2 linked regions of the Sus scrofa genome follow. The protein of the gene in region 1 interacts with the protein of each later gene in a pairwise test. Links are inferred from orthologs where the notes say so. Each region holds a gene or a part of one and is shown in the gene's direction. Other genes may lie near its edges.

Region 1 (12,619 bases):
CCATATGCCACCGGTGCAGCCCTAAAAAGACAAAAAACAAAAAAACACTAAGCAAACTTAGATAATAAGAAAAATCTATCTTTTAGCACTTAGGAAGTCACCAGAAAATGGTCAGCTTATATCCAAATGTTGATGTCTAAGATACAAAGTTGTTGAGGAGATGCTGCAAAGATGAGAAACACAAAGAGAAATCTGACTGCCAGAGTCATACAATTGGTTAAGAAAAGGTGGAAATTTAAAGTTTGTTATTTCCATACCCTCAGCCTAAGCTGAGGCTGGATCTGTCAGACCTCTTGACACAGCTCCAGCCTGCAGTTCTTTCCTGCTGTATTGCTGGGAACCCTTGAAGATAACAAAGCATCAGAAAGCCTGTTTCATTATGATGGCATTTAAAGGCAATTTTGATTTCACCTAGTAAATATTTATTGAGTGCCAGTAGCGGGAATCAGAAAGTTAGGTTCCTTGAGGTGTTCCCTGCTAGTGCTGGTGTTTCCAGTTTGAAGCCTCTGGTCTGCGTAGTTCTGCTGGTTCTGACTGATTGCTCTGGTGGGCTTGCACCATTCATGCAGTTTTCTCTCCTGCTTGCAGTGGTTGGAGACCAGACCTAACAGACAGGTGTGTCCAGTTTGCAAAGCTGGCATCAGCCGCGACAAGGTCATCCCGCTGTACGGCAGGGGCAGCACTGGGCAACAGGACCCCAGGTGAGGTCATGGAGCACCCCCCACACCCACTCCTCCCATGGGACACAAATTCACTTCCATTCAACAGCATCCCCTTACCCCACCCTTTACTTAGTGCTTATAGATCCTCAGTTTTGAGGCACTTAGGATCCAGATGGGAGTCAGCCAGTCCGGGAGGGGAGTCAGGTTGCCACGCTGGGCTGTGATACAGAGCTGCACTGAGTGTGTGCTGGCAGGTAGACAGGGTTCTAGGCAGTGCACAGGACATCACCATTGCAATTGTGCAGAGTGCTGTAGAGGAGCCTGGGAGGCAGTGTCCAGCAGGAGAGTCTGCAAGGAGGGGGTTTGCTGCAGCAGTGATATATAAAGTTGAGGGGGTAGGGGCAGTGAGGGGAGAGATAGGGGTCTGGGAGGCTCTGAGATTTCTGGAAATGGAGGTTTAGTGGTCTGGCACTCTACAAACACAAGTACTGAGAGCCTTCTTAGTGTGGTTCATGACATGTGTGCATATACACACAACCCAAACTCTGACAGCATCTCTTACCTTCTTCCACCTTGCTCCAGCGTACCTGTACCCAGACGTATTGGACTTTTCTTAAAGTGACTTGCCCTTTTACCTTTTACCTTTGTATTTACTATCACTCTGCTTCTTCTGTCCTCCCCAGTCCTGCTCAACTCCCTCTCCTCCTCTAACTTCTACAATCTTTAAATGAGCAGCCCTAAAGTTACCTCCTCCTTGAAGTGGCCTTTCTTTCCCACATTAGTTGCTTTCACCCATGCCTCTGTTCCATTTCGTTGACACCTCTATTACAGAAGTCCCTTCCCACCATGTGTTGTGCTTGGTTGTAGCCCCCTTTAAGTCACAAGCACCCCAAGGGTAGGGTCTGTCTTCAGTCTTAGTATTGGTAGCATCCTGCCTAGAGCCTGATGGGTGACAAGTGGGATGAGTCATGGAAAGGCCCAGAAGCAACAAGAGCAACGTAAAGTACTTGCCCAAGAATAGTGGGCGGTAAAGCTGAAGGTGATGGGGCAGAACAGAGACCCTGAATCTCAGCCCTATCTGCTGAGCTATCCTCTGTTTCAGTTTAGATTTGGGGTCTTTGACACCCATGACTCCTACATCACTCAAGCCCAGGCTGGCAGTCATAACTGGTCTGGGTCAGGCTGTCTGTGAGAGGAGTAGCCTGAGTACAATCTAATGAACATCTTATAACAAGTGGATTTTCTTCCTGGCTTTCTACACCCTGAGGAAAAGCAATTGCAGGTATAACAGAATTAGCATTTGGCTTAATTTGGCCTAAGTTCATGTGCTGGGCACAGAAAGGAGCTGTGGCCCTGACTTGCTGAAGAGCTCCCAGTCCCCTCAGGGAACAGCTCAAAGCATTTCGTAATAGACTTATTTCTGTTTCAGGGAGAAGACTCCTCCCCGTCCTCAAGGACAGAGGCCAGAGCCGGAGAACAGAGGGGTGAGGAAATTTCTAGGAGAATCGTCTAGATATGATCTTGTAGCTTTAGAAGTTTCCTTCTTGGCCCTGAACTTTTTTTTTTCCTTGATTATAAAAGTAAAGGAAAATTTGCAAAATACAGAAAGGAAATGGGGGGGAATAACTTATCACATCATCTAATCACTAGAAAGATTTTGGTCTATTTTCTATTTTTCTATAATCACCTATATACACAAACACGTTACAGATCTACTTATGTGTGTGTGTTTTATAAATATATGTATATATATACTTGCATACATATGTTTTAATTTTTACAATATTTGGCTCCTGTTTTATAACCCTCTTCTACAAGTTTATTCATTCTGTACTTATTGCCTACTGTATGCTAGGCATCATTCTAGGCACTGGTGATACATCAGTCAACATAAGAAAGGTTCCTGCCCTTATAGAGTTTACAGGTAGACCTTGGAGGTATTGCAGGTTTGGTTCCAGGCCACCACAAAAAAGTGAATATCACAGTAAAGAGTTGCACAGATTTTTTGGTTTCTCAGTGCATGTAAAAGTTATGTTTACACTATAGTCTATGAAATGTGCAATAAATAGCATTATGTCTAAAAAAACAATGTATATACCTTAATTTAAAATTATTTTACTGCTGGAGTTCCCATTGTGGCACAGCAGAAATGAATCTCACTGGCATCCATGAGGACGTGGGTTTGATCCCTGGCCTTGCTCAGTGGTTTGAGGATCCAGTGTTGCCATGAGCTATAGTATAGGTTGCAGATGCAGCTTGGATCTGGCATTGCTGTGGCTGTGGTGTAGGGCAGCAGCTGCAGGTCCAATTTGACCCCTAACCTGGGAACCTCGAGAAACTTCCTGCGACGAATGCAGCCCTAAAAAAGCAAAAACAAATAAAATAAAATAATAATTATTATTTTTTTTTCTTTTGTCTTTTTGCCTTTTCTGGGGCCACTTCCACGGCATATGGAAGTTCCCGGGCTAGGGATCTAATTGGAGCTGTAGCTGCCGGCCTACGCCAGAGCCACAGCAACTCGGGATCTGAACCGCGTCTGTGACCTACACCACAGCTCACGGCAACACCGGATCCTTAACCCACTGAGCAAGGCCAGGGACCGAACCCGCAACCCCATGGTTCCTAGTCAGATTTGTTAACCACTGAGCCATGACGGGAACTCCTAAAATAAAATTATTTTACTGCTAAAAAATGCTGTCATTTGAGCCTCAGCAAGGCATAGTAGTAACACCAGAGATCACTGATCCCCAGATCACCATAACAAATGTAATAGTAATGAAAAAGTTTGAAATATTGCAAGAACTAGTAAAAAATGATAAATTGAGCAAATGCTCTTGGGAAAATGGCACCAATAGGCTTGCTAGATGCAGGGTTGCCACAACCTTCAATTTGTAGAAAACACAGTGTCTATGAAGCACAGTAAAGTGAGACACAAGTAGTATTTTATTTAATGGCTGTGTAGTGTGCAGATATATGCACTTAGTATAATTTAATTTTTTGGTTAACTATTTCGTTTTCTTTTTTTCTATTTAAAAATACTCTGATGAACTTACTGATAAATTTTTAGTAGGTTCACAATTATTTTATTGGGATACATTCTTAGAAGTAGAATTGCTGGCTCAAAAAATTTACAGTTTTAAATCAGATGTTAGTCTTTGATTTTTTTTGTTAAAATATTAAAGAAATTTTATTTTTGCTTTTTTCTTTTTAGGGCCATACCCACAGCATATGGAAGTTCCCAGGCTAGGGGTTGAATCAGAGCTACAGCTGCTGGCCTACACCACAGCCACAGCAATGCCAGATCCGAGCCGAGTCTGTGACCTACATCACAGTCCGTGGCAACGCCGGATCCTTAACCCACTAAGCGAGGCCAGGGATCAAACCTGTGTCCTCCTGTATACTAGTCAGATTCATTTCCGCTGAGCCATGGTGGCTACTTCTGTTTTCTTACTTCAATATGGCATTTCCTTAGAATTTCCAGGGTAGGATTATTGAGTCAGAGGTCTTGATAGAAATTGAGGGTCTGTTCTCCAGATTACCCTTAATAATACCAACAATGAACACTTGCTAAATGACTGTTATCTGCAAAGAATTATATGTTAAGGGCTTTTTATTGCATGATGTCATTTAAATCTCACATCAACTCATTTAACAAAAGAGGAAACTGAGGCCCAGATAGGTGAAGTGGCTTGTCCAGGGCCACACAAACAGGGCTGAAGATCTGGCTTATGTTGAAGTCCTTGCTTCCAGTGACACCACCTTAACCTTCCCAGTCCCTGGTTCCCAGTGGAGCATTAGCTCCTAACCAGGAATCCGAGGGAACCAAGAAGTCAGAGGCCCTGGTGATGCAGACTACAGTGCATGCCTCTGCCGAGTACAAGCACCCACAGCCACCAGTAATGCTTTTTGCCTGCTTAGTCCCAGGAACAGAAACCCACCTAATGTGAAGACTTGTGGAGTTATATACAAGAAGGCCAGAGGGTCAGTCTTTGGGATTGTACTGAATGAGGTGGTGGTTCCTGATGAAACAGTTGCACCTTCCTGGGTAAGGCAGCCTTGATCCCAAGAGCCCTCAGACTCAACCATGCTGCTCTGAGTCAGGCAGTTCTGCACCAAGAAAATGGAGCACAGTTGTTTTCCTTCCCTATAGGTTTTCTGTCTCATTGAGTTGGCTGTCAGGCTTTATAGGTAATGCTGCCTTGTAAGAAGTTTGGAGCAGTAGAGATTGGGAGTAGCCACTCTCAGGACTTGGAGAAGACTCACAAAGGAAGGCCAGCCACCTCTTCATGGAATGCAGTTGGCCCATCATTTTTCTTTTTTTAATTTTTTAAAATAATTTGTTCTAAAAATCTACCCAGAGATGTGAGGGAGGAGAGGAATTTTTTAAAGATGTGCAATTTTTAAGAATGTGGGTTTTCAGACTGTATTGACTAGTTTTAGATCTAAACTCTGCTCCTTCCTAGATTTGTGATCTTGGTCAAGTTATTTCCCCTCTCCAAGCCTCAGTTTGGTCATCTGTAAATGTGGGTGATGCTGATGTGAGAATTAAATGTGATTTGAGTGTCCTAGTGCTTTACACAATGCCCAACACAGTTGGCACTTAAAAAATAGGAGTTGACCTATTTACAATATTATAATTTCTACCAAATCTTTTCATGTGAAAGATGATGCAGTGTAGAACATGTTATAGAGGGAAAAAGCTGAGGATGATCCCAAACTGCTGACAGTGGTTATTGGCAGGAGGGGTTGTAAAGTGGGAGGTGAACAAGGAGACCTCTGTAATATATGAATTTCTCAAAAGCATATCTTTTGCAATCAGAAAAAATATATTGAATTTTTAAATTTTCTGTAATATTAAAGGAAAAATTTGAGGGAAAATACTTATCCATACTTTGCCACATATCTGCATATTGTCATATACTTGCAACCATGGCGTCGGAACAGTTTTGTGAGATAACTTGGTCACAGGGGTTTTTCTGTGTTGCTGCATAATTAGCGTAATGTTCTTTGAGAGGATGTACCAAGATTTTGATCATGACCTCCATTGTTGGCTAATCAGGGTTCCACTTTTTTGCTGTTACAGACATTGTGTAGCTTGTCCTGAAGTTCCCTTGTAATTGGGCATAGAACTTATTGCCAATTTGGCTGTTTTAAAGCACATAGAAAATTTTAACTGGCTGTTGTGGGAGTCTGGGAAAGCCAGAGCCCTGAGATCCCTTACTTATCAGCAGAGTTTTACATTGGGCTAGAGCCAGTCCCTCCCCTTGATGGCTAGAAGTGCAGAGGGCCACCAGGGTTCCTCTACCTTGGGATCTAGATGGGAGGAAAAGAGGGTAGGGAGGAGAAGCATGTGCCACACGTAAAGTGACACATTTGACAGATGCAGGAGAAATGTGTTTATTGTTCTGAACTTCATTTATTCATTTCAGGGATTTCAAGGGTTTGGATTTGGAGATGGTGGCTTCCAGATGTCTTTTGGAATTGGGGCATTTCCCTTTGGGATATTTGCCACAGCATTTAACATAAACGATGGGCGACCTCCTCCAGGTAGGACCCTATTCTCTTCGTCATTTTTCTTGAAGGATCCTTGGAATTTGGCAGTATGTAGGTTACTACATGGATAATCGGCCTTTGCAAAATGTGCTAAAATCTTTTCCGATTACTAGTAGACATAGTAATGATGTTGCAACCTTACCAAGGATAAGGCATGTTCAGAGTGCTTTCCATTATAAGCGTGGGATCCTTACCATAAGCCTGTGGGACTTTAGCTCCATTTTATAAACAAAAAATGCTCAGTAATTTTTCCCAAGACATAAAATGAAAAAGCATAGGAGTTCCCTTTGTGACTCAGTGGAAACAAATCTGACTAGGATCCAAGAGGATGCAGGTTCAATCTGTGACCTCGCTCAGTGGATTAAGGATCTCATGTTGCCATGAGCTGTGCTATAGGTCGCAGATGCGGCTCGGATCTGGCATTGCTGTGGCTGTGGTGTAGGCCAGCGGCTACAACTCCGATTTGACCCCTAGGCTGGGAACTGCCATATGCCATGGGTGCGGCCCTAAAAAAAAAAACCGTAAACTGTGTGCCCTGAGTAAAAGCCTAGTCCTAGGCACGAACCCCCCACTTTGACCATGAGGGCTTGGAGGAAGAGGCATCCACAGGGAGTCAAGGTCTCTATTCTCTGGCATCTCCAGCCAGCTTCCCTCAGGACACATGTGGGCCTGGTCCTAAGCCCCAGCTCTTTGGGAACTCTGCCTTGGTCTGCCATCCACTGCTACCTTTCTCCCTCCAGCCAGTGTGAGACTGTCAGTGGCATTTGGTATAGAGCAGGGTGGCGAGGTGGGGGCCCTGGGCTCAGTCATGATCTGAGGCCCGGGCCCAGATTCTGACCCTGGAGCCTTTAGAGATGCTGAGGTTGGTTGAGCTCTGCTTGCACTCACCGGGGCCTCATGTGGGCTGAGCACAGTTGAGGTACAGAGGGACCAGTGCATGGCTCCTGGCCAGGGGTTTATGCTCTGGGGACAGTAACCTCTCCTGAGCGATCCCATTTGTCCCCTGTCCCCACCATGGTGCCTGACACACAGCATTCAGTCGATAAGTCTTTGTTGACTGCTGGCTGCCTGACTCCATCAGAGATCTAAGAGGGGAACAGTAAAACACCAAGAGGTCATGGGACTGCCCTTCCTTACTTCAGAGGTTTCCCTTTGTTCACATAGGGTTTGCTCAGAGGGAAGAGACCCCACAGGGCAGGGTGTGTTCTGCTCTAAAGGAGGGACAGGGCCCCATGGAAGCAGCAGGAATCTGCCTGGTAGCTTGTTTCCATCCAACCTAGCCTAGGGCTCACCCTGGTTTCCCCATGTAAACAGAATTCCGCAGCCAGGCTGGACTCTGGATCAGTTTACCCCCTGCTACAGCTAAAGACAGTTTTCTGTTGTCATGTTTGGACAGTTTGCCCATCTGGGATATAGATTCTTTTAACTCTTTCCCATGGTCAGGACAAGGAGTTCATATTAGCTTTTCTCAAAGCAGAAAGAAGTGGAAATCCAAGTTCTTAGCCCACCTCTGCCCCTAGTTTGTTATGCAAGAGGGAGACAGGTCGTTTTGCCTGTCTGGGGCCTAGTTTTCGCCTCTGGAAAGGGAAGGTGCCCCACTCAGGGCTCCCTGAGACCCCACCTGGCCCAACAATGCCAGAATCTAGAGACTCCATGACTTAGGAGGCAGCATGCTGAGAGGCTAAGAGCACAGCTCTGTGGCATCCCCACTAACTCATGGACCTCCAGGTCTCTGGCAGGTCCCCACATACCTGTGCTTCAGTAAGGACTTACATATACAAAATGGATAATAATACCAAGCAATAATGTATATATACAAAACAGCACATAAAAGATGCCCAACAAACAGTAGCTTTTCTTTTTCCAAGACTTTCCAGTTCTATTTGCACCTGCAGGCCAAACCCTCTTAGAATAAATGGGAGACTTTGTCCTCATTATTGTATGATTCCATATGTTTTCATAATTCTGGTTTTGTTTTGTCTAAGATTATTTGGAGTTTGGAAATATTTTTTTGTTTTGGCCATGCCCATGGTATATGGAACTTCCCGGGCCAGGGATTGACCCCATTCCATAGCAGAGACCCAACCTACTTCAGTGACAACCCCTGATCCTTAACCCACTGTGCCACAAAGGAACTCCTGGAAATCATTTTAGTGAGCAGGATTGTTGTAAAGTGATGAAGGCTGACACTCTCGACCTCTGACTCTGGAGGGCAGTGTGCACAGCTGTAGCATTCTCACAACCTCTTCTCCCTCCTGTCCCTCCAGCTGTCCCTGGAACGCCCCAGTATGTGGACGAGCAGTTCCTGTCACGCCTCTTCCTGTTTGTGGCCCTGGTGATCATGTTCTGGCTATTGATTGCCTAATGGTGAACTCCCAGCCTACATCCATGGCAGGGCCTCCGGATTGGTGACACGCCACCCTCACTCTTGATGTTTGACTTCCTGGCTGATCCTGACCCCTGGAATAGGGGTTAGTAACATGTTAAGGAGTCTTCTCCATCAGAGCTTTGAGACTGAAGATCAGTTGTTGAGGACCCTGGAGTATTGCCACTGCTGTAAACACCCTGCTGTAACCTCAGGCCTTGGCACTGAGTTGTGTCTCATGGGTTACACCGTGGAATCCTGTTCCAGCCAGCTCAGTAGGTCCTGACTCTGCACAGGGGAGAGGCAGGAGAGAAACTGTCAGTACAATTTCACCTGAGTTTAATAATGCAACAACAAATGGATGAACCAAATAGTACTTGCAGAAACTCTTTTTTCATCTCTTTAAATACCCCTTGGTAAGTGGCCTCTGAAGTCATCTAGAAAGGTTCCCCTTCCAGATCCCAGTGCTCTTCTGTCCTCTTTCTTCCTCCTCTTCCTCAGCAGAGATATGAGAAAGTGCTGGCCTATGAAGATCATAGTTGAAGCAGCTGGCGCTGGAGTTGCTTTGTGAATTCACCAGAGACCCTAAGATCTTTTGTTGCATCTGGGCCATGCTCAGTGTCTCTGGCTCCAGAGTGGTTTGAATGACCCCAGGTTTCCTGGCGTAGGTTATCCCCAGAGACATGTGGCTTCACTCACGGGTTTCCCATCAACTTTCCCTCCAAAGCTGTGCACATCTGCCAGGGGGCACCCAGCCTGGACAACTGCCGAAGCAGGGACGACTGCGCATTATCAAAGACCTGCCATTGGGACCCAGGTGGGATTCAGGGCCCAGATGCAGGAACAACTGAAGCAGCAGCCCTGTCCCCTAGGCCACAGAAGCTCCAGGTGCATCCTCTCTGGACCCCTCAAAGATACTGGGGGCCTTGTTGAGTCACCCCAACTGCATGTTGAAGACCACCCTCCTCAGAAACCTAGTTGTCCTTAATGAAGAGGCAGAGAAGGGGGAGACCAGTGTGTGACCCTGATTTGGGTACAGCGTGGAGACCCCTTGTGTGCTAAAACTAGGGAGCGTGTGACTCAGAGCAGGCAGCCTCAGCGTGATGATAGGATGCAGTCTTCCTGTGGATGTCCTCCCTTGGAAACTTCAGGGAAATCATTCTTCCCAAGCTCTTGATTTGTTTTTCAACATCTCATGTGTTTTCCTCCAAATCTGATCAAGGGAGTGTGGTGCCGGCAGAAGGACAGTTTACTTGGTAGAATGGTTCTTGCTCTGCTGGTCTGGCCTCTTCCTAGAAATCTAGCCTCCTCCAGGAGACCCTGAGGTTGAGAGGAGATGGGATTACTCTGGGGGCCACCTGACACATCACCAGTCCACACTGCTCCTGGTTTACCCCTAGCAATAGCCAGCAAGTGTTCAAAAGTGCCCCCTATCTGTTTTTTCCAGATATGGCTTGCACAGTGTGTAGAAACCAAAACTTTTGAGAAAGATGAGGGAAGCCTTTCTCCCTTCTCCACAGCCCCCGCCCCTTTTCTCTTATACCTTTCAATGCCAGAGTTCAGTGTTTAAACAGACAAAATATAAGTATTGAATAGGTGGCTCATTTACCAAATCCATTTGGTAGGAATAAGCCACCAGCTTTACGATGTGCCTGATGGATTTTAAACATTCTCCAGGCACCTACTCAAGAGTGCTTTTTTATCACCTTCTAGAAATACCCAAAGTCTGAGGGGCCCTGGAGTATCTCAGTGCAGGGAGAGAGGACTTCAGTGAGATGAGTAGTAGGTAGGAAGACGAATAACTTGGACCCTTTAACCGAGTAGAGTGAGCCCAAGAGAGCTCCACCAGCAAAGGCACCATAGGAACCTGCCAGCAAAGCCAGTTTGGCCTTGTGCCCTTTAATTTTGAAACTTGCAGGCCCCCACTCACCTCCTGCCAGGAGCTGGGGCAGAAGAGCCAATTTGGGACTGCTGGCCCAGCCCCGACAGAGAGCTCCCTTCCCACCACCCTCTGCAGGCTCACCACCTCACCCCTCTGCTGAGGCAGTTTTCCTTTCTTTTGTGTGTACTATGTTCTTGGCTCCCACACCCCTCCTGCCACCTTTGTGGATTAGGACCGGGTCCCAACCACAGTCAGAAAATGACACCATGTACAGTGGCACATCTTGACCAGTCACTAATTTTCACTGTTGTGAAAGTGATTTGAGTAGAATTAAACAAGTGGTTTTACATAACTGTGAGCTATGCACTTATTGTCTGGGTCAGGGGAATGGGGGGAATGGATTGGGGACTAGTCACACTGGTCTGGATGAAAGTCTTCACACATCCACAGTTAATTAGAAAGGAGAAGTATAGGCTGGAGGCCTGTCTTCCTACACAGACCCACTCAAGGTGTGCCCTGTCTGACAGGCAGACCCAGTCCTGATAAGTGTGAAATTCCAGAGCTTGCAGGCTGCCACCATGGAGCTTATTAGCTTGTGGCTAAAAAGAGCCTTGAGTACAGTCAATGTCAGCATCTTTCCCCGTGTTGTATCACAGGGGCAGGTGGGCCTCCAGCCAAGCCCTCTCCCCGGAGGAGGGAACGTGCTATGTGAGGTCCCTCAGTAGCAGAGTGTAAGATAGAAGATGGTGAGATTACAAGCCTGGTCCAGCCTCAGGCTCCCCAGCACACCTGGTCACCCCTCTGAAAGGAGCTTTTTTCTCCCTCTTGAACTTTGTCCTAACAGTTATCAAGCTGAATAGTGCCAGTGCAAAGGTAAGGTAACTCCAGGAATTCAGAAGGCCAATAAGAAAAGGAAACAAGACACACAAGTAGAACAGGACAGTAAGGCCTGCGTGTACTAATTGACCAGCTCCAGGTCTAGTCCTAATTCACCCCACCTCACAGTGTTCCTCTCCCCTACACTTTTTGGAAGCAAATTCTAGTCATATGTTACTAAGCATTTAAATATCCATCTCAATAGGATTTTTAAAAATATAACCAAAATACTTTTATGTGCCTTTAAAAATTGATAATTCTGGAGTTCCCGTTGTGGCGCAGTGGTTAAAGAATCCGACTAGGAACCATGAGGTTGCGGGTTCGGTCCCTGCCCTTGCTCAGTGGGTTAACGATCTGGCATTGCCATGAGCTGTAGTGTAGGTCACAGACGCAGCTTGGATCCTGTATTGTTGTGGCTCTGGCATAGGCCGGTGGCTGCAGCTCCGATTAGACCCCTAGCCTGGGAACCTCCATATGCTGTGGGAGCGGCCCTAGAAAAGGCAAAAAAAAAAAAAGTTTTAATATCTTCATCTATCCAGTTATCATTCAGATTTTCTTAGTTGTCACATAATTTTTTTGTACAGTTTGAGTTGAGAACCAAATCAGATCCATACGTTGCTATTGGATGTCTCTTTTCTAAATCTCGTACATCCTTAGAATCCTCTTGTACCTCTTTTCTTTCCCTTGCAGTTTATCTGTTAAGGAAAGCAGTTTATTTGTCCTGTTTAGTTTCCCACAGCTGCACTTTTGCTCTTTTTTTTTTTTTTTTTTTGTCTTTTTGTTATTTCTTTGGGCCGCTCCCGCGGCATATGGAGGTTCCCAGGCTAGGGGACGAATCGGAGCTGTAGCCACCGGCCTACACCAGAGCCAGAGCAACGCTGGATCCGAGCCGCGTCTGCAACCTACACCACAGCTCACAGCAACGCCGGATCGTTAACCCACTGAGCAAGGGCAGGGACCGAACCCGCAACCTCATGGTTCCTAGTCGGATTCGCTAACCACTGCGCCACGACGGGAACTCCAACTTTTGCTCTTTTCATCACTGTGCTATTAACAAACTCTTACTCTTGTATTTCCCATAAATTGGTTGTTAAATCTAGAGGCTTGGCCAGATTCAGGCTTAATTTTTTTTTTTTCTAAGACTGTCATAAGTTACTTGTTGCATCATATCAGGGGACACATAAAGTCTGGTTGTCCCTCTTTGTGATGTTAGCAGCCCTTACCATTGTCTAGAACAGCACTGTCCAGTAGTTTTCTGCAATTGTGGAGATGTTCTCTGTC
Region 2 (11,744 bases), on another chromosome or scaffold:
ATCATAACCCAGCTCTGAATACCAACATGTCCTTTCTATAGAATTCTGTGTTTTCAGGGTTATTGAAGTAAAACATAACCAGAAACTAGGATTCCATGTTGATTTCCAGATCAGAAAATGCTTTGTCCCTCCTTGTCATTTAACATCAGTATCAGTACACACATGGTAAAAACAGGTTGGTTTTGAGAGTTCTTTTTGGCCACACCCGCGGAATCTGGAAGTTCCCCAGCCAGGGATCAAATCCACACCAAAGTATGTGCCACAGCTATGGCAATGCCAGATCCACTGTGCCACATGGGAACTTTCCAAAAACAGGTTGTTTTTAGAGTTTCTGTTGTGGCTCAGTGGGTTAAGAATCTAACTATTATCCAGGACAATGAGGGTTCGATCCCTGGCCTCACTCAGTGGGTTAAAGGATCCGGCGTTGCCGTAAGTTGCAGTATAGGTCACAGATGCTGACTGGATCCTGCATTGCTGTGGCTGAGGTGACCCCTAGACTCTGAAACTTCCATTTGCTGTGGGTGCAGCCCTAAAAAAATAGGGTCAGGGGAGGTTGTTTTTGCAAAAAGTTTTGTCGTAAAATCCAAATAATCATACCAATGTTAATTTCTTGGGTTGGTAATGATTACATAAGTTATGACGGGGGGGGGGGGGGAGGGGGGGGAAGCTGGGTGAAGATACACAGGATGTCTATTTTTCCAGTCTCCTCTGAAACTATAAAAATTTTTTTTGTCTTTTTGCTATTTCTTGGGCTGCCCCTGTGGCATATGGAGGTTCCCAGGCTAGGGGTCTAATTGGAGCTGTAGCCACCGGCCTACGCCAGAGCCACAGCAACGCGGGATCCCAGCCGCGTCTGCAACCTACACCACAGCTCACGGCAACGCCGGATCGTTAACGCACTGAGCAAGGGCAGGGACCGAACCCGCAACCTCATGGTTCCTAGTCGGATTCGTTAACCACTGCATCACGACGGGAACTCCTGAAATTATAAATTTTTTAAAAATTAATTTAAAAAAACATTTTAGTCATGGAAACAGGATAAACATTTCAGTTCAAATTTTAAAATGAAAATCTAGGAGTTCCCATCATTGTGAAAAAATCGGACTAGGAACCATGAGATTGCAGGTTCCATCCCTGGCCTCTCTCAGTGGGTTAAGGATCCAATGTTGCCCTGAGCTGTGGTGTAGGTCGCAGATGCGGCTTGGATCCCACGTTGTTGTGGCTATGGTGTAGGCCAGGGGCTACAGCTCTGATTAGACCCCTAGCCTGGCAACCTCCATATGCCGTAGGTGCGGACCTAAAAGAACAAAAAAAAGAAAAAAGAAAATCTAAAAGTTCTTAGGAGAGCTTGGGAGTCACCTAACAACTGTGATACCTCAGTCGGAGGAATCTTTAAGCCCAGTGCAAAGGCTTATTTCCATCTAAGGCTCCTCACTAACTCTGGCAGTGATAAATGTTACAAGGCATGTCCTTCTGCTCTTCCCAACTCCAAGACCAAGGAGGCTCTGAATTAGCGTCAACTCACAAGGAACAGGTGAGAGGGAGGCCCTCAATTTTGTGAAAACCCACGGAGAGATCACTGCACACAATTTATTTCCATCGCTCTACGTCTGAGGCTGATTCTCACCAACGGCACAATCCTTGATCGGCAGTCTGCTTGGGCTCAGGATCCGGTCAGGACCCAGGCCGCAATGGGTTTCATCTAGCGACTTCCGAGGGCGCCAGGGGATCGGCTTGGCTCAGGGCGAGCTGGTCTTTCTTCTCCTTCTGCAGGACCTGCTCCTCCCACAGCGCCTGATCCACCTGATCGTCGGTGAGCACTACAGGCTTGTACTTCTCATCGAAGAGCCGCTCGTTGGCTTCCGAGTGCAGCTGGTGGGGCTCCACGACGCGTAGATGTGCCGGCAGGTGCAGGAACTCGTCGTGGTTGATGTCGCAGTCGCGCATCCGGGCCCCCAGCACCCACCAGCGGCCCACGAAGCCCACATCCAAGATCCGGTCCGGGAAGTCCGCCCAGCGGGGCTGCAGGTAGCGGCAGCGGGCCTGGTAGAGGCTGACCTGGGCGTCGAACGGCGCCTCGTACACAAGCGAGCAGAGGCCCAGGCTCACGTGGCGCAGGCGGCCGCGACCCCGCAGCCAGAGCAGCCGCTGCACAAATGCTTCAGAATCGCGGTTGCGTGTGGCCGGCGCCAACAGCAGGAGCGTCCCCGACGCATCCAGCAGCGCCTCCTCAAAGGCTGCCTCACTCGGCGCCAGGGCGCAGCAGGCCGCCGCGCCGCCCAGCAGCCCCACGTACACGGCTGCACGCCCGGGCCGGGCTCGCGCTGCCGCCGCCGCGTCTCTGCAGGCCTCTGCGTAGTCCTGGAGCAGCGCGCGGGCCCAAGCTCCTGAGAGGAGAGAAGCGCGATGAGGGCGGTCGGGCCGCTGCGGCCCCCCACCCCCACCGCCTAGCGCCTCTACTCACCCAACCGCGCCCACACGCCAGGCTTTGCAGCCGCAGCGTCCCCCGCCTCCCCACGGCTTCGGGACCACAACCTCTTCAGTGCAGCGGCCGCCATCCTCTTCCGGCTGGGCGTCCCTACTCCGAAAAGAAACGCCTGGTATGCGAAACAAAAAGATCCGGTGAATATCTTCTGCGCAAGCGTCAACATTTCCGGAGGTAGTTTCCCATCGGAAGACGATAGAAAACGGACCGACGCCGGATGTTGCTGTCGGGTCCGACTGGGGTTGCCCCGGCTGGTAGGCGGGTCGCGCAGGCGCAGAGAGTACCGGCCACGCCAGTTGAGGCGGCCTCAGGTGAGGTGGGCGGGGGTGCACCTGGGGGGCGGGAGTGCTGTGTTCACGCCCCTGCGGTACGGTCAGCCGCCAAACGGGGCTCGGGGCTGAGGGTTGGCTTCAAGGAGTGGCGCTGAGTGGGGTTGGGGTGGGCCTGATTGGCCTCTCTCCTCAGAGCGGGATGCGGCGACGCCCCTGAGTGATCATGGCAGCGGCGGACGAGCTGGCCTTCCACGGTGAGTGCCGCCGCGGTCTGACCCCACTCCTACTCCCTCCACTGGCCAGAACCTCCCATCCAGGTCCCAGCTCACATCTAACCGGAATCCCAGTCAGCTGTGAAACCTGACCCAGGCAGGAACCTCGCTCCAGCCCTAAACTCAGACCTCAAACCTGAGCCTCTACCCCATACCAGCCCTCAATTGCGGTCCAGTGTTAGGAGTGAGGGGAAGGGGACACACCTCTTTCCCACTCCCCAAAATTGAGGAAGCTGTACCCTGGGTTGGGGGGAACACCGAGGTGGTCACAGTTAGTCTTGGCCCCCAGATGAGCAGTGGGCAGAACCAAATTGTCTTGACCCCTTCAAATACACCTGTGTCCCATATTCCTTCTCAGCAGAGTTCGAGGAAGCCACTAATTTGCTGGCCCAGACCCCAGAAGCGACCACCACCAGAAGTGATCAGTTGACCCCCCAGGGGCATGTGGCTGTGGCCATGGGCTCAGGGGGCAGCTATGGAACTGAGGATGATGCAGAGGAGAGTGACAAGGCAGCGGTGGGTCCCCTAAGTCTCTGTGCCCTGCCTTTGTCTAGTCCCTGCTGCCCTTCACCCCTCACTGAAAGCCCACACTGTTCAGCTCCTACAGGAGGAGAAGCAGCAGCCTGGTTTCTGGACCTTTGGCTACTATCAGACATTCTTTGACGTGGACACTTCACAGGTCAGACCCGGGGAGTTGGTGGAATGGGGCTCAGAGTCACACTTGGGGTTCAGCCACTAGTCACTGAGCATTTCCTGCGCACCAGGCCCTGAGCAAGTGCTAGCAATACTCATATGAGAGAACAAGAGTCCTACCCAGGCTGGTAGATGTAACTGTGTGGACTGCAAGGATTTTGATGTGTGACAGGGAACACACGTGATATGGTGGGTTAGGGAAGGACCCCTTGGGAGAGATGAGGAATTTGCTGACACTTAAAGGAGAAGGTAGATTTAGCCAGGCAGAGTGGAAGGAAGCTTAAGTACGTTCCAGGCCCAGGAAACAGCATAGGTAGAGGAGCAGTAATGAGAGAAGACAAAAACTACTGCAGAGGCCTTGTATCACTCAGTCTGGAGAGTGAAATGGGAGACAGGTGGAGAGAATCCAGGTCACAGGGGTCTCTTGAGCTTTGTTAGGGAGTTTGGGTTTTATCCTAACGGTGCTGGGGGGTCATGGAAGAGTTTAGAGGGGGAGAGAATTGAGTAGCGTGGAACACGGATCGGAGGCCCCAGGACAGGGAGATAATATTAAACCAAGGTTGTAGAATAGGGGACATATTGGGAGAGACACGTGAATGAGAACGCCCGGGATTTGTTGCCGATCCTTATGGGGGCAGGGAGGAGAGAGCAAAAAGGGGAGTCCAGGACACGGATTCTGAGAGGAAGGAGATGCAAAGAAGATAGCAGGCCCAGAAGTGTTCTTTAGAGTGGTGGGACACTGGGATAGTGAGTGGGGCCTGGCCAGGGGAAGGGCTCCAGGCCATGGGAATAGCCCGTTAGAAACCAGAGAGGAGTTCCCATTGTGGTTCAGCGGGTTAAGAATCTGACTACTATCCATGAAGATGTGGGTTTGATCCCTAGCCTCACTCATTGGGTTAAGGATCTGGTGTTGCCTCAAGCTGCGGTGCAGCTTGCGCATGTGGTTCCGATTCCGCCTGGCTGTGGCTATGGCCAGCAGCTGTAGCTCTGATTCGACCCCTTGCCTGCGAACTTCCATATGCTGCAGGTGTAACCTTTATTTAAAAAAAAAAAAAGGAAACCCACAGGGAAGAGCCCTTTTTGGTGGTGTGGAGAGGAGGTGGGAGGTCAGCAGGGAAGGAACCCCTAAGGAGCTTAACCCCGCTCTTTTTTTTTTTTTTTTTTTTGTCTTTTTTGTCTTTTTGTCTGTTGTTGTTGTTGTTGCTGTTGTTGCTATTTCTTGGGCCGCTCCCGCGGCATATGGAGGTTCCCAGGCTAGGGGTTGAATCGGAGCTGTAGCCACCGGCCTACGCCAGAGCCACAGCAACGCGGGATCCGAGCCACGTCTGCGACCTACACCACAGCTCACGGCAACGCCGGATCGTTAACCCACTGAGCAAGGGCAGGGACCGAACCCGCAACCTCATGGTTCCTAGTCGGATTCGTTAACCACTGCGCCACGACGGGAACTCCAACCCCGCTCTTTTGTGGGTGGTGAAGAGCCCCAGGCAGGCTTCCATCCTACACCTCGGCTCTGCCCCCCAGGTCCTGGACCGGATTAAAGGCTCACTGCTGCCCCGGCCTGGCCACAACTTTGTACGGCACCATCTGCGGAATCGGCCAGACCTGTATGGTGAGTGAGGTTGTGTGTTTTGTTCATTCAATTAGTCCTTTGGCAAATGTGGACTGAGTGCCAGGTCCAGGTATACAGCTGAGAACAAAGCAGAGCCACCCTGGGAGAGCGTGAAACTTACCCTCTGTTCAAGGAGACAGTGCCTGAAGATTAGGCTGCAGAGGGCAGTGGGGCTCGGAAGAGTCGCAGGGGGCTTAGAGGACAAGGGTTGCTGTTTCGCATCAGTTCTTCAGGGAAGGCTCCTCTGAGCAGGGTGAGGGAATGAGCCTTGTTGGTGTCAGTGTTGGGGGTGGGGAGACCTGGGGGAGAGCATAGCAGAAGCGGCATGTGGCAGTTCAGGCCTGAACTGCAGGGCAGCACTGTCCCTGGATTGGAGTGAGCTGCCAGGAGATGACGGGACAGATCTCACAGGTCTCCTATGCTTTGATGAGAAGGGATCTTAGTTAAGTGTCCGTGGGTGGTGTTTGCCCTGGGGAGGGCGAGGGCAGACACCAGGAGACCATGGAGGTGATGGCCAAGGTCCAGGCATGGGATGCCAGGCCTAGCCTGGGGTACAGAGAGGCGTGGTTGGATTCTGGCATGTGAGTGTAGTGGGGCGAATGGCGAATATGAGTGCCAGGTTTAGGGCAGAGGCCCAGGCTTGAGACATTTGGGGGTTGTCAGTGCAGAGGTGGCATAAGATGGACAAGATCACATAGAGGGGAGGGTGGAGGACTGGGCCCCGGCTGGCTCCCCATCATTGGAGAGACCAGGGAGTCAGAGGTAAAAAATTGCCAGTGAGATGAGACAAAAGCAAGAGCATAAAGTCCTGGGAACCACATGAAGAGTGCTCTCAGAAGGAGGGGAGTCAACTACATCACAGGCTGTTGAAAGGCCAAGAGAAACGAGAGCCTGAGTTGACAGCCAGCCCTGGATTCAGCCAGCAAGTTGTCAAGTGTGATGCCAGGTGGATGGAGCACTGGGTGGAGGCAGGCCCGGGGCTTGGGAAGAGGCTGGGACAGATCACCTGTCCTGGCACCGCCCCTGCCCTGCCCATAGGCCCCTTCTGGATCTGTGCCACACTGGCCTTTGTCTTGGCTGTCACCGGCAATCTGACCCTGGTGCTGGCCCAGAAGAGGGACCCTTCCATCCACTACAGCCCGCAGTTCCACAAAGGTAAGCAAATTGGGCAAGGCCTGGTACCTGGCGGGCCCAGGGGTGCCCCAGGGGGTGATGACCTGCCTTGCCCCACAGTGACCGTGGCTGGCATCACCATCTACTGCTACGCATGGCTGGTGCCGCTGGCACTGTGGGGCTTCTTGCAGTGGCGCAAAGGTGTCCGAGAGCGCATGGGGCCCTACACCTTCCTGGAGACAGTGTGCGTCTACGGCTACTCCCTGTTTGTCTTCATCCCCACTGTGGTGAGTGGGGCCCAGGGATGGGCCACAGGTGCCCTGGGGACGAGACCTGGTAGCCAACTGTCTGTCGCCTCCAGGTCTTATGGCTCGTCCCCATCCCGTGGCTGCAGTGGCTCTTTGGGGCACTTGCCCTGGCCCTCTCAGCCGCTGGCCTGGTGTTCACCCTCTGGCCGGTGGTCCGCGAGGACACCAGGTTGGCAGCCGCAGTGCTGCTCTCTGCCGTGGTGCTGCTCCACGCCCTCCTGGCCATGGGCTGTAAGGTACCAGTCTCGGGGAAGTCATAGGTTGGGCCTTGGGTTTTGGGGTTGGCTTGCGGGCTCTGATGCTGACCTCAGGGGATCTTGGGTCAGTTTTACTTCTTCCAGCCGCTGCCTCCGGAGCTCCTAGAACCTCCCCACCAGGCCACAGCCCAGCCCCCAAACATACCGCTGCCACCCACCCTACCAAAGTCCATGGCGACCTAGGAAGGCTGGAGCCCACAGGTGAGGAACTGCTTCCAGCTGTAGCTGAGGCCTGCCCCCGCCACTGCGCCGAGCCCCCCACCCCGTTAGAAGTCAGGGCCACTCGTAGGAGTTTCTGTCTTTCAGGCCCATCAGGAGGGGATGCCTCTGCCTGCCCTGCCCCCAAGACGGTGACTGAAGGCACCCCTGGAACCTCAAGATCATTCTGCTACTTTCCAGACTTTTCTTACAAAGCAAACACTTTTATTTTCTATGCAAAGGTGATTCAGAGAATTTATATAAAGGCGGGAAGAGGGACAGAGCAGGGAGCTTCCAGGGCAGCCATCGCCCCATGGGCTACCTGCCAGGACGGGTGGGCAGCAAAAGGGCCACCCCAGCCTTGGCTGTGCCTGCTCTCACTGGGGTGCCCAGCTTGTGGGCCTTGGGCCTAGCTCCACCACATCTGAGTTTGCGGGTGTTAGAAACGGGGAGAAGTAGAAGAAAACTGCCTGTGCTGAAACATACATTTCCTTGTTTATTTTGCTTTTCTTTTTTGGAGGGGTCCCTGCAAGGCCCCTTCCCAGACTGGGGAGGGACCAAAATGCCATTATAGTGGGGACTTGAGCATCTACAAATACTGAAGGGGACACACAGGCCTAACATTAGCTACACGGAAAAAGGACGCCTTTCACCACAGACCCTTGAGGTTTGTGTCTGCCCCAAGTGGCTGATGGTGACCCTTCCCTCCAGGGCCCACAGGGCCACCTGTTCTAGCTCTGGGTGCGGGTGGGGGTGGGAGACCTGCAGGGGCTCAGGGACAGGACAGCAGCAAGAGGCAGGGGCTGAGGACGGAGGGCCTTCCCGACAGCCGGGTGGGTTGTACATTCAAGTGTGAGGTGAACCCTTTGGTGGGAGGGGGCCGAGGGGTCCAGAGGCCCAGCCCTGCCCCATCCTGCAGACCCGCAGGGCTGCCCCTCGCCACTGAGCCTCTGAGTCGGGGAGAGGGGCTGCTGGCTCGGCCCGGCCGGCCTGATTTCTCAGAGGGTCTGTGGATTGACACTGGTTCTTTTCGTAAAAAAATAAAATTAAAAAAAGCAGCATGTCACGCCCATTGTGACCAAGGCCTGGTAGTTGAAGGGGAGGCCCCGCCCAGCCAGGAGAGCCTTCCTGCTGGAGACAGAGGAGGGCAGGCCCCAGGGACCCGGCAGCAGCTGCTTCCATTCCCCCGCCAGGCCTGCAGCTGTCAGGCCCGGACACGCCTGTTACAGAAGATGTCAAGCCCAGGTCAGGGTGGAGAGGATAGGAGGGGGCAACAGGGCTCCCATGACATGATCGTGTGTAAAATATGGCAGCGACACGCGCTCAGGGCCAAGATGTGGGTGGGCGGTGGGGTGGGGGCGGCGGCAACGTTGTGTAAAAAAGTGTTCGAGTTCCCGTAGCAAAGAGGGCTGTGACTGGTTGTTCGGCTTCTCCAGTACAGGGGTGAGAGCCGCCCAGGTGGAGGGGTGGGGTGGGCAGGGTCTTCATTTGGTTTCCTGGTGCTGTCAGTCTGTTCCACGCTGGGCGGGCCTAGCTCCCGTAGTGCATGGTGTTGGTCGGGATGGACATGGGCGAGGCCATGGAGATTGCGGGGCCGCCCATGGTGAACTGGCTGTTGACCGCGTAGTGGGCGCTGGAGCTGCCGCCGCTGCTGCCCTGGGCGCCAGAAGAGCCTGTGGGGTGGGACGTGGGCACTAAGGGACCAGCTCCACCCCCTTGCCCACCCGGACCCGCGGCAGAGTCAGAGAGAGAAGAGAGCAGGCGAGAGGGCAAGGCGGGCGCCGCGGTCAGCATGCCCACGCCCGCAGGACCCTGCTCCCTCTGTCCCCGTTACCTTGGACAATCCCCGTGCTCATTATGGAGCCCATCCGGGAGTGGGTGTGATTGACAATCCCCGTGTTGGCTGCGCAGCAAGAGGGAGGAAGGAAGGAAGGGAGACGGCGTCACCGCCCCCAGCCTGCCTCGGCCCACGCGCCCGTCGTGGTGGGCGCTCACACACGGGTGTGGGGAGGGAGGTGGGCATGGTTCTGGCAGAGCGAGGCAGAGAGGAATGGAACAGGGGACCTCAGCCCCAGCAAGGAAGAAAAGGTGGTGATGCAGAAGGCCCAGTGCGGCAGTCCCAGGCGCCCGGCCCCCAGGGCGCTCACCTAGAGGAATCAGGTTGTTGTGGCCCACGCTGGAGCCTCCGGCGATAACACTGCTCAGGTCGTAGGCGGTCGGCATTCCTGTGCCAGGGAGGGAGATGTCAGGGGTGGGGCAGTGACCCAAGCAGGGCTTCCAGGGACCAGGACTGTGGGCTTGTTTGCCCGGGGCGGGGGGCACCGCTGCTCACCCCGCCCAGGGGGCCTTGCTCACCGGCCACAGCCATCCCGCTGCTGAGGTTATAGGTGCTGCCGGTGTTCCACATGTTCTCCGAGGGGGATGTGTAGTGGGAGCCCGGTGGGGGAGAGGGTGTCGTCCCGGTGTATCTGTGGCAGAGAAGGACTGTGGGCGTGGGTGGGGCCAAGAGGCTGCGGGCCAGGAGGGCACCCCCACCGCAGGACGAGGGCCCATCCTACCTGAAGAAGGGGTTTTTCAGATCCAGGAGGTTACTGGACTTGGAGCCTGTCTGGTCTACCTGGGCCACAATACTGATGTCATAGCTCTGTCTGCAGAGAAGGCAGGAAAGGGTGGCCATGAGGGGGCTACGTGGGTGGACCGGACCCCTGTCTCCCCAGGCCCCCAGGGCGGCAGCTTGCACCTTTTGTTGGCAATAAGCAGACATGTCCCTGAGAGCGTGTCCCCAGCCTTGGCAAACAGTGGTGACTGGAACAGGCACCGGACCTGGTACCAGTGGGTCAGGGGTTCCGTCGGCGCCGTGGACAACCACACGGTCATTCTGCCAAGCAGGGACAAGCATGTACTTATATCTGGGCTGGAGCCACTCCGACACCCCCACCCCTGGGCCCACCCTGTGCTCTCCCCAGGCACCCACCCCCTCCCCCAGGGGTCCTGAAGCCAAGAGAGGCTGGCTGCCCGGGATGTCCTCAGCACACAACCGCACACACAGCCCCACAGCCAGGGGCACCCACTCGCCTTGACATACATGCCAAGAGACACAGTTCAGGCACTGTGAAGAAGAATCACTCAGGACAGTATAGACATTAGCCTCCCTCCAACACGCTCACACACACACAAAATAGTCTCTCCCTCCAAGGCCAGCTCTCACTGCGTTTTGGAAGGGACAGCGGAACATGGAGGAGTCATGTCCTGCCCTCCCAAGCCAGCCAGGCCTGGGGGTCACAACTGCAGGCAAGTCCCTGGGGCTGAGGGGCTAGGGCCACACACTGCACTCACATGGAGCCAATGAAAGCGACGTCAAACCAGAAAGCCAGACCGTGAACCAGCCCGGAATGCAGCATGTGGAATTTGAATGGGATTTCTATCCTGGAAGGCAAAGGGCAGTGATTGCTGGGGAAGCTGAACAGGGGCGAGGAGAAGTGTCGAGTGTAGGAGGTCAGGGCTCCTGTTTGCCTGCCCTGGGGAGAATTCTGCCTGAGGGAGCCAGCTGGGGTCCCGACCTCCAGCAGGAGCCAGGCCCAGGAGGATGGGGCATGGTTGCAGGTTACCTGTGCAAATCTCCTTCTTTGGCTTCTAAGAAGTTCACCGTGTACTTGACAGACTTGGCCATAAGGATCCGGATGTCAAATGTGTCCTGAGAGAGATCACAGGTGTGACCTGGCTTCAGGCCAAGGGGCCAGCAATGAAGAGAAAAGCCCTGCCCCTCTTCCTGAGTCTGGCCATGGCCTCTAGGCCATTCAGCCAAAAGCAGTTTGCTGTTCTCAGATGTAACGGAGGGTGAATTGGTATAACACCATGGAGGGCAGCTAGGTGACACCTCTCAAAATGACAACTGTTCATCTGTATAAAGTTCCCATTGTGGTTCAGCAGTAATGAACCCCACTAGTATCCATGAAGAATTGAGTTTAATACCTGGCCTCACTCAGTGGGTTAAGGATCTGGCATTGCTGTGAGTTGTGTACGTTGCAAATGCAGCCCTAGCCTAGTAACTTCCATATGCTGTGGGTGAGGCCCTAAAAAGACAAAAAAAAAAAAAAAAAAAGATCTGTCAATTTCACTTCTGGGACTTTTAACCTACAGATCTCTGTGCATATGTATAAACTTACACATGTTAATTACAGGCTGCCTAGAGTAGCAACACATAGAAACCATCTAATTAAACCAACAATGACCCATCAATAAAAGACTATGTATGTGAAAAAGAATAAAGAAGCTCTTAAAAAGAAAAGAAGAAGAGGAAGCTCTTTATGAATAGGTGGGGAAAGAGCTCCCAAATAAGTTGTCAAGCATGTTCACGAAAAAAACAAGAGAACCATGTGCTGACATCCATCCCAGCTACGATGGAGATTTTATATCAGGCTAACAATCCTGCCAAGAACTAAACGAGCGGAGTTAAAAACAAAGGAAAAAAACCCTGTTGTCTGACACTGGAGAGCAACCACAGCAGCCACAATTTGGGGGCTAAGATCCTAGA

Evidence for each region.
Region 2: the proteins of RNF185 (region 1) and YIPF2 interact in binary tests that used the Homo sapiens proteins (3 or more experiments, as listed by UniProt). The two-hybrid records come from large-scale screens. The link is inferred for Sus scrofa from reciprocal best matches to the Homo sapiens genes RNF185 and YIPF2.

Annotation. Positions count from the first base shown.
Region 1 is NC_010456.5:47,968,889-47,981,507, forward strand, and holds the end of RNF185 (E3 ubiquitin-protein ligase RNF185), read left to right. Parts: intron 1-588; coding exon 589-701; intron 702-2,091; coding exon 2,092-2,146; intron 2,147-6,091; coding exon 6,092-6,209; intron 6,210-8,482; coding exon 8,483-8,580; 3' UTR 8,581-10,814; downstream 10,815-12,619. UniProt on the Homo sapiens protein: E3 ubiquitin-protein ligase that regulates selective mitochondrial autophagy by mediating 'Lys-63'-linked polyubiquitination of BNIP1.
Region 2 is NC_010444.4:69,640,532-69,652,275, reverse strand, and holds YIPF2 (protein YIPF2), read left to right. Parts: upstream 1-2,584; 5' UTR 2,585-2,796; exon of another isoform or gene 2,797-2,801; intron 2,802-2,950; 5' UTR 2,951-2,980; coding exon 2,981-3,011; intron 3,012-3,387; coding exon of another isoform or gene 3,388-3,390; coding exon 3,391-3,545; intron 3,546-3,627; coding exon 3,628-3,708; intron 3,709-5,246; coding exon 5,247-5,334; intron 5,335-6,372; coding exon 6,373-6,734; exon of another isoform or gene 6,735-6,808; coding exon 6,809-6,991; exon of another isoform or gene 6,992-7,081; coding exon 7,082-7,195; 3' UTR 7,196-7,213; intron 7,214-7,318; 3' UTR 7,319-7,709; downstream 7,710-11,744. Other genes in the region: TIMM29 (mitochondrial import inner membrane translocase subunit Tim29), read right to left, coding at 1,699-2,387, 2,465-2,558; histone-arginine methyltransferase CARM1, read right to left, coding at 8,457-8,883, 9,045-9,435, 9,566-9,678, 9,769-9,858, 9,951-10,088, 10,547-10,636, 10,819-10,904.